Linked DNA regions of Macaca mulatta. The protein of the gene in region 1 purifies or fractionates together with the protein of each later gene. This does not show direct contact. Links are inferred from orthologs where the notes say so. Each region holds a gene or a part of one and is shown on either strand. Other genes may lie near its edges.

Region 1 (4,328 bases):
CCCAAATCCCTGGACATACAAAGCAGTTGGGAGACCCTGGCTTTGTCCATAAAGCAGCTGAGTAAAGAAGTGGATGTGGTGATTGATGAGGCATCATGACTTACCCAGTTTGCAGTGGATAAATAATAGACTCAGAGGTCTGCCAGAGGTCAACAAGAACTGTAAGCTTGGAACCATTCTCAGTTCTTCAGCCAACAAGGCTCCTTCTTCCTTTTATCTCAGACTCAATACAAAATCTGCTTTCTTGAGGAATTGTCTTTTGCCATCAGCATGAGCCTGCAGACACCGTCCCTGAATACCTGACTGCTAAATACACCTAAACTCGAGCAGAGCCAGAATTAGCCACCTTTTCTGAAACCATCTCAGCACTTCTCAACAAATAAAGAAATTGCTTTTTAGGGGCACCTTTTAATCATGCCCTTAGGTTCATTAAGAATGGACCCTGTCTTAGTCTATTTGTGTTGCTATAAATGAATACCCGAGGCTGGGTAATTTATAAAAGAAAAGGGGTTTATTTGACTCATGGTTCTGCAGGCTCTGCAAGAAGCATGGTACCAGCATCTGCTTCTGATGAAGGCTTCGAGCTACTTCTCCTCATGGCAGAAGGCAAAGGCGAGCCAGTGTATGCAGATTACATGTGAGAGAGAAGCAAGAGAGAGGGCGGAGCTGCTAGGCTCTTGTCAACAGCCAGTTCTCTCAGAACTAAGAGTGAACTCCCTCCTATGAGAATGGCACCAAGTCATTCGTGAGGGATCCACCGCCATGACCCAGACACCTCCTGTCAGTCCCCACTTCCAACCCTGAGGATCAGTTTCAACATGAGATTTGGTAGAGTCAGACAAACCATATCCAAGCCATTGCAGACCCAGACAGAACTCAGATGCCAGAATCATTTCCTGGCTGTCTCCGTAATTAAGCATCATGCTTTTTCTCTTCTCTCCTAGGGTGTGGGATGTGAACACGGGTGAAGTTCTTAACACATTGATCCACCACAATGAGGCCGTACTGCACTTACGCTTCAGCAATGGACTGATGGTGACGTGTTCCAAGGACCGCTCCATTGCTGTGTGGGACATGGCTTCTGCGACCGATATCACTTTACGCCGTGTCCTGGTTGGCCACCGGGCTGCTGTCAATGTAGTAGACTTTGACGACAAGTACATTGTGTCCGCCTCTGGTGACAGGACCATCAAAGTAAGTATGTCTGCAGTCATAACCCAGCCTCCTCCTGTCCCTTTTAGAACAGAGAGAAAGCAGAGGTGGCTTATACCAACCTGGTACCTGGTAAGATCTTTATTCTCCTCTGTGCTTAGTGTAATGTTTTCAAGGTTCATCCATGTGCTTTGTAGCATCTATCAGCTTTGTCCCATTTTTGTTGTTGTTGTTGTTGTTGTTGTTTTAAGTACAGATGGGGTCTTGCTATATTGCCCAGACTAGTCTTGAACTCCTGGGCTCAAGCATTCCTCGGCCTTCCAAAGTGTTGGGATTAGAAGCATGAGCCACCACACCCAGCCAGTACTTTGTTGTTTCCAGTGGCTGAATAACATTTCATTGTTCTTCTGTTTATTAGTTGATAGACATTTTAGTTGTTTCTATTTTTTCGGCTATTACAGATGATGCTGCTATAAATATTAGTGTAGAAGTTTTCATGTTTTTAATTTTCTTAGGATGGTAACCCTCTGTTTAACTTTTTTTTTTTTTTTGAAGACAGATCTAACTCTGTCACCCAGGCTGGAGTGCAGTGACACAGTCATGGTTCACTTCAGCCTTGACCTCCTGGGCTCAAGCCGTCCCTCAGCTCAGGGACCCCTGAGGCTCCCACCTAAGCCTCCTGGCGTAGCTGGGAGTACAGGCACTACCAGGCCCGCCCCCCTGCCCATTTTTTTTTTGTAGAGACCAGGTCTCACTTTGTTGCCCAGGCTTGTGGAACTGCCAAAGTGTTTTCCAAAGGCACTGCACCGTTTTACAGTCCTGCCAGTGGTATGTGGGGGTTTCAGCTTGCGCAAAGAACATCCTTTTCATGACCAGCACTGGAAAGCATTCTTACACCTAGCCCCACAAATCACAAAGTGTGTAGCATCAGGCTTTAGACTGGATAGTTGGGAAGCTAAACAACTAGGATTTATATGTGGCAACTTACTCCCACAGTCACACCAATTGGTATGAGACCAGTGCCTGAAAGTTGAGAGGGTCTGAGCTTTATTACAAAACAGCTGTTTCATAATACCAGCATGGAGGATTTCTCCATATCCTCGCCAACACTTGCTGTTATTTGTCTCTTTTCTTTTATCTGCCCTAGTGAGTGTGCAATGGTATCTCTGGTTTTGCTTTGCATTCCCTTATTACTGATGATGCTGAACAACTTGTTGTATGCTTATTGACCATTTGTGTACTTTCTCTGGAGAAATGTCTATAAATCCTTTGCCCACTTTAAAAATTGATAATTTGTCTTTTTATTGTTGAGTTATAAGTTCTTTATATATTCTGGACACAAGCCCCTTATGAGATACATGATTTGAAAATATTTTCTCCCTTTCTGTAGGTTGCCTTTTCACTTTTTTGATGGTATCCTTTGATGCACAAATGATTTTAATTTTGATGATGTTCAATTTATCAAGACGTGCCTAGGTCCTTGATCCATTTTGAGTTAGATTTTTGTTTAAGGTATGAGGTAGATGTCCAATGCCATTCTTTTACATGTGGAGATATATTTATCTATCCCATTCAGCTGCAAATGCAGCTGTTAAGATAATTCAGGGCACTCTGGTTGCTGTGTGTCTCCTTATTTGTCTAATAATACATTGAGATGTCTATGAACATCTAAGTCTTTCAGATGATATCACAAAAGAGGGGATTATTTATTCTACATACATACAATTAGAAGTAATGTGTCAAAACAAATGGAGCTGTTCAAGAAAATATGCTGGAAAAGAGGATTATATGAAAGATGAAACTTTTTGTTTGTTTTTTGAGACAAAGTCTCGCTTTGTCACCCAAGCTGGAGTACAGTGGCACAAACACGGCTCACTGCAGCCTCAACCTGCTGGGCTCAAGTGATCTTTGCACCTCAGCCCCCTAAATAGCTGGGACCACAGATGTACACTACCACGCCCAGCTAGTTTTATTTTTTGTAGTGATGAGGTTTTACTACGTTGCCCAGGCTGGTCTCAAACTCCTGAGCTCAAGCAATTCTCCCGCCTCAGCCTCCCGAAATGCTAGGATTAGGTGTGAGCCACTGTACCCAGCTGGAAGCTTTTTTATTACATTAGCTTCATTGGGTTTGACATGTCAGCTGGTGTAAAAACATAAAATCTGGCCCAAACTCTTTCCTCCAGGTAAATGAATATCCAAACCATCTAGGAGATGTTCTCTTTGTAAAGATCTCAACGACTGGAGACTTCACTTCCCTCCGTGTTTCATTCCAGTGTTATTACTCAGCAGCCAAAGAAAATGTTATGCTGTCTAGTCTGCCCTCTAGCCTCCCAACTTTGAGTTAGAGGACACTGTATTTTATAATCACATATTTGGGTCATTCTCAGAAGCTGTCTTTTTAAGAAAGGTATATTGTGGGAGGACTTTTCCACATTCATTCTTTAAAATATTGTTAATTTGTTATACAGGTCTGGAGCACGAGCACCTGTGAATTTGTCCGTACTCTCAATGGGCACAAGCGAGGCATTGCCTGTCTCCAGTACAGGGATCGGCTGGTTGTTAGTGGATCATCAGATAATACCATTAGGTGGGTAGAAGTTGGTGTGCTGACAGAGCAGGCTGATTCTTGCCACGTTGTTGACTCATCTCCTAGTTCTAATGCTCAAAACAACTCAGAGTAAATGGGATGTTTCAGATAAGAAAGCTTTAGGTAACTTTTAGAAATGTATTTGGCTCTGTATACTCAAGTGGGAAAACCGTGTATGCCCTGGGTGGTCTTCCAGTGTTCCCCCAGTACATAAAGTTTTTTAACCTCAACTCCACCCAGGATCACTTAATATCAGAGCACTTCAGAACAGACTAGGGTGCTGCAGCCCAACTCGCTCTGACTTCCCTCACCTGTAAGCTCCCAGCTCCCTACCTAATACATGGGAGTGTACTTTATTTTTCTCTCCCAAGACTGCATTATGGAATCATCCATTCCTGCCGGGATCGTTTACCTCCATTTTTCCTTCCCAGCCCTCAGCCTCCTTGCTTTCTAATAAATCTAACTAACCTTAGACATTTTGTATCTTGTTAAGAACATGCCTTCAATATCTACTTAATTATCCCGTGCCATTTCCCCACTGTCTTAACACACTCTAGTGGCTTTACATAAGTGACTAAACTTAACTTTG
Region 2 (4,328 bases), on another chromosome or scaffold:
GCCAGCTGGGCCCAGTCACCAAAGGTGGGGCAGGTGATGGTGAGTATGGGCGGCTGCGCAGGTGAGGGCGTGGTGGCCAGGATGTCCCGGATCTGTATGGAGGGGGAGTGGTAAGGGACCACCTAAAGCTAGTGGGAAGGAACCACCTAGAGGGGGAATGGTAAGGGACCACCGTGGCAACACCCAGCCCAGTGGGAAACCTGGGCGAGGATACCCTCAGCCTTCCCCCACCCCGAGGCCTGCTCCTCAGCACCCTCCCGCCAAAACCCAACCCTCTCCAGCGCCAGGAGGCTCTCTGGTCTGGCCTCACCTCCTGCCTCTCCTTCCCCGTCAAATGCCTCCCTGCCCCAGGGCCTTTACACTCACCGTTCTCTCCTCCCAGGGCACAGCTTCCTCCAAGGAGACCCTCCACGGCCCACCTCTGTCTACTGAACCTTTTCTCATCACTTTTAAGTGCCCCACTCCAGTGTGAAAATGTGGTTTGCCAGAGACTTTTGCCCACGTGTCCTGCCCAGACTGTGGGCACCAGAAAGACCCATTTGGCTCCATCCCACATCAGGACTTTGGGACATCAGCTGCTCTACAGACCCAGCTCACACCACACCCTTTCCGGGCAATGGGACTAACCCTGGACAGCCAGGAGGCACGTGTCACCACTGCCACCCTACAGAGGAGGGGGAGACCAGGTCATGGAAAACAGCAGGTCGCTGGGGCCACACAGCCCGATGCAGACAAGCCAGGATTGAGCTGGGAAAGTGGGGGATGGCAAAGGGGTGGCTTACCTCTCTGTCCTTCAGGACCTGGAGGAAGTGGTGAGGCGAAAAGCCCCCTGTCTGTAGCAGCAGCTCCCCTGTCTCCTCCAGGCAGGGCCCAGCCAACACCAGTAGCTTGTGAGAGGCAGGGTCCAACAGAAGGTTCCGGAGCTGAGGGAGGGGTGAGCACTAAAGGCCCCGTTCTGTGCAGTGACGTATCCAGCAGTCCTCTTTGGGGTGGCCTCAAGTTGATACATAACCACCCCTCTCCTGCCCTCACCCCACAGCCAGCCCAGTGCTCAACTAGCTATGAGGGCAGTCTCCAGGTCTCTTGCTGGGCCCTGGAGCAACTCTAGCAAACTCCTATTCATCTTACAAAGCCCAACTCTGATGTCCCTTCCTTCTAAAGGCACTCACTGCCCTTTCTGGGCTCTCTCTAGTCCACCTCTCCCTCCAGCCCAGCCCTGATGCCACAGGGCTGGGGGCGTCTGTGTCTCGCTCTGTCTCCTAAAGACTGAGAGTTCCTCAAGGGAATAAAAGGGAAAAGTTCTGATCCAAGGAATCAACCTGTAAGAAAGTGTGCAGTGGGATGCCCCAGGGCTCTGTCTGGGTCATCTTCCTGATGTATAATTGGTGGAATACAGATGGCCACAAGCCGTTTAGTATTAGTGAGTCAATTCAGACAACTCCTGGGGCCTAGCCGGAGGGAACCCACGGGACGCAAACCTCAGTCTGCTCTGGCCTTCCGGGCTCCAGACCCACGCTGTCCTGGGCCCTAGGCTGGGAGTGCTTACTCCCTCCCTCCCAAACCCAGGCTTTTCTGCTCCCACCCCAGAGGAGGGAAGAAGCAGAGGCTGGAGCCACGGGGAAGGCTTCGTGGGCGAGGAAGTGTGGTGCCGGGTGTCTCGAGAGGATCTGGGGCAGCATGAAGACAAGGACACGAGACAGGAAGACAGAGACGGCATGGGTCCCAGCAGCCCGCCCCCTCCAGGATGTCAGCCATTCCCTACCTCATCACACAGGGACTTGTCTGATGGGTTCAGGAGGACCAGGGTCTCCAGGCTGTCTCCACGGTGGTGCAGGCTCCGCTGGCCTGTGGGGGAATCAGGCCATCCTGGAGTCAAATCCTGCCTCCCCGTGTGACCCTCAGGGAACACGAACCCCTCTGGGAACCCACCCAGGGAACATACGGAGATTAAGAGGCGCACGGCAGAGAACCAGGCAAGAAAGAGAAACTCAACCACCCTGGCTGGCCTAAGAGAGGCAGTAACCAGAGGGCCCCATCATGAGCAGGGCCTGGTTTGCAGCTGTCACCCCTGTGGGTGATGCCACCGTTACACTCCTTTTTTTTTTTTTGAGACGGAGTCTTGCTCTGTGCAGTGGAAGCTGGAGTGCAGTGGTGCAATCTCAGCTCACTGCAAGCTCCGCTCTTCCTCCCAGGTTCATGCCATTCTCCTGCCTCAGCCTCCCGAGTAGCTGAGACTACAGGTCCCCGCCACCACATCCAGCTAATTTTTTGTATTTTTAGTAGAGACGGGGTTTCACCGTGTTAGCCAGGATGGTCTCGATCTCCTGACCCGGTGATCCGCCCACCTTGGCCTCCCAAAGTCCCAAAGTGCTGGGATTACAGGCGTAAGCCACTGTGCCCAGCCCTTCTTTTTTTTTGTTTTTTTTTTTGAGGCGGAGTTTTGCTCTTGTTGCCCAGGCAATGGCACAACCTCAGCTCACTGAAACCTCCGCCTCCTGGGTTCAAGCAATTCTCCTGCCTCAGCCTCCCAAGTAGCTGGGATTACAGGCACACGCCACCACGCCCCACTCATTTTTTGAATTCTTAGTAGAGACGGGGTTTTACCATGTGGGTCAGGCTGGTCTCAAACTCCTGACCTCAGGTGATCCGCTTGCCTCGTCCTCCCACAGTGCTGGGATTACAAGATTGATCCACTGCACCCGCCCAGCCACATTTATTATTTTTTTATTTTATTTTATTTTTTTGAGACGGAGTCTCGCTCTGTCGCCCAGGGTGGAGTGCAGTGGCCGGATCTCAGCTCACTGTAAGCTCCGCCTCTCGGGTTCACGCCATTCTCCGGCCTCAGCCTCCCAAGTAGCTGGGACTACAGGCGCCCGCCACCTCGCCCGGCTAGTTTTTTGTATTTCTTAATAGAGACGGGGTTTCACCGTGTTAGCCAGACGGTCTCGATCTCCTGACCTCGTGATCCGCCCGTCTCGGCCTCCCAAAGTGCTGGGATTACAGGCTTGAGCCACCGCGCCCGGCCCACATTTATTTTTTAGACAGAGCCAGAGCTCGAGGAGGGCCAATGAGGGCAATCCTGGACCAGGGTATATCCGGAGCAAAGGCCCTGAGGCAGGACTCAGCTAGGGGTGGGGCAGCATAAGGGCCTGGGCTGAAGTGGGACTGTTTCTGGGATCCTGACCCTGCTCTGTCCCCCAGGGCCTATCTGTGTTTTAAACATCCGTACTGAGAGAAGGCTGGCAAGGAACCAGAGCCAGGGGAGGGCCAGTGAGGGCCAACTCGGACCAGGGTACAGCACGAGCCAAGGCCCTGAGGCAGGACTGAACTGTAAACAAGGCTGAGTCTGGAGAGGCAAAGACCCTCTGGTATTGCCAGCCCTTATCACATTTAGCTTGCTTTCTTTCCTTCTTTTCCCTTTTCTCTCTCTTTCTCTCTCTCTCACCTCTATCACATTGAGCTTTCTCTTTCTCTCCCTCCCTCTCTCTCCCCCTCCCTCCCTCTCTCTCTCATTTTTTTTTAGATGGAGTCTCCCTCTATTGCCCAGGCTGAAGTGTAGTGGCGTGATCTCGGCTCACTGCAACCTCCGCCTCCTGAGTTCAAGCAATTCTCCAGCCTCAGCCTCCCAAGTAGCTGGGGTTATAGGCGCTTGCCACCACACCTGGCTAATTTTTGTATTTTTAGTAGAGACGGAGTTTCACCATACTGGTCAGGCTGGTCTCGAACTCCTGACCTCAGGTGATCCACCCACTTCAGCCTTCCAAAGTTCTGGGATTACAGGCGTGAGCCACCGTGCCAGGTCTAACTTTATTTTTTGAGACAGGGTCTCGCTCTGTTGCCCAGACTGAAGTGCAGTGGCACAAATCTTAGCTCACAGGAGCCTCTGCCTCCTGGGTTCAAGCGATCCTCCCTCCTCGGGCTCCTGAGTAGCTGGGACTACAGGCATGCACCACCAGGCCCACCTTGTTTTTGTATTATCAGTAGAGACAGGGTTTCGCCATGTTGCCCTGGCTGGTTTTAAACTCCTGACCTCAAACAGTCCTCCCACCTTGACCTCCCAAAGTGTTGGGATTACAGGCGAGAGCCACCCCACCCAGCCTTAGCACGCTTTTTGCCACACACGGATATTGCCCCATTCAGGTGGGGAAATCAAGGCATAGAGAGGGGAAGCGGCCACAAAGGTCGCACACAGCAGACAGGATTTCCAGCTCCACTTTCTGCTCCATGAAGTGTCAGGAAGCCACAAGGACCCACTGGGACAATGAGATGACGGACACTTCCTTCCTCTCCAGCAGCCGCTGGGAGGTGACTCAAGAGACCATCAAGAG

Evidence for each region. Proteins that work in one complex are often made in the same cells at the same time.
Region 2: the proteins of FBXW11 (region 1) and MAP1S purify together in Homo sapiens (affinity purification with mass spectrometry; 4 studies listed by BioGRID and IntAct, with this or other methods). This does not show direct contact. The link is inferred for Macaca mulatta from reciprocal best matches to the Homo sapiens genes FBXW11 and MAP1S.

The regions. Positions count from the first base shown.
Region 1 is NC_133411.1:180,721,384-180,725,711, reverse strand, and holds part of FBXW11 (F-box/WD repeat-containing protein 11), read left to right. Parts: intron 1-944; coding exon 945-1,194; intron 1,195-3,620; coding exon 3,621-3,739; intron 3,740-4,328.
Region 2 is NC_133424.1:18,221,138-18,225,465, reverse strand, and holds part of MAP1S (microtubule-associated protein 1S), read right to left. Parts: intron 1,846-4,328; coding exon 1,763-1,845; intron 924-1,762; coding exon 783-923; coding exon of another isoform or gene 669-782; exon of another isoform or gene 557-668; coding exon of another isoform or gene 215-556; intron 123-214; coding exon of another isoform or gene 93-122; coding exon 1-92. UniProt on the Homo sapiens protein: Microtubule-associated protein that mediates aggregation of mitochondria resulting in cell death and genomic destruction (MAGD). Plays a role in anchoring the microtubule organizing center to the centrosomes. Binds to DNA. Plays a role in apoptosis.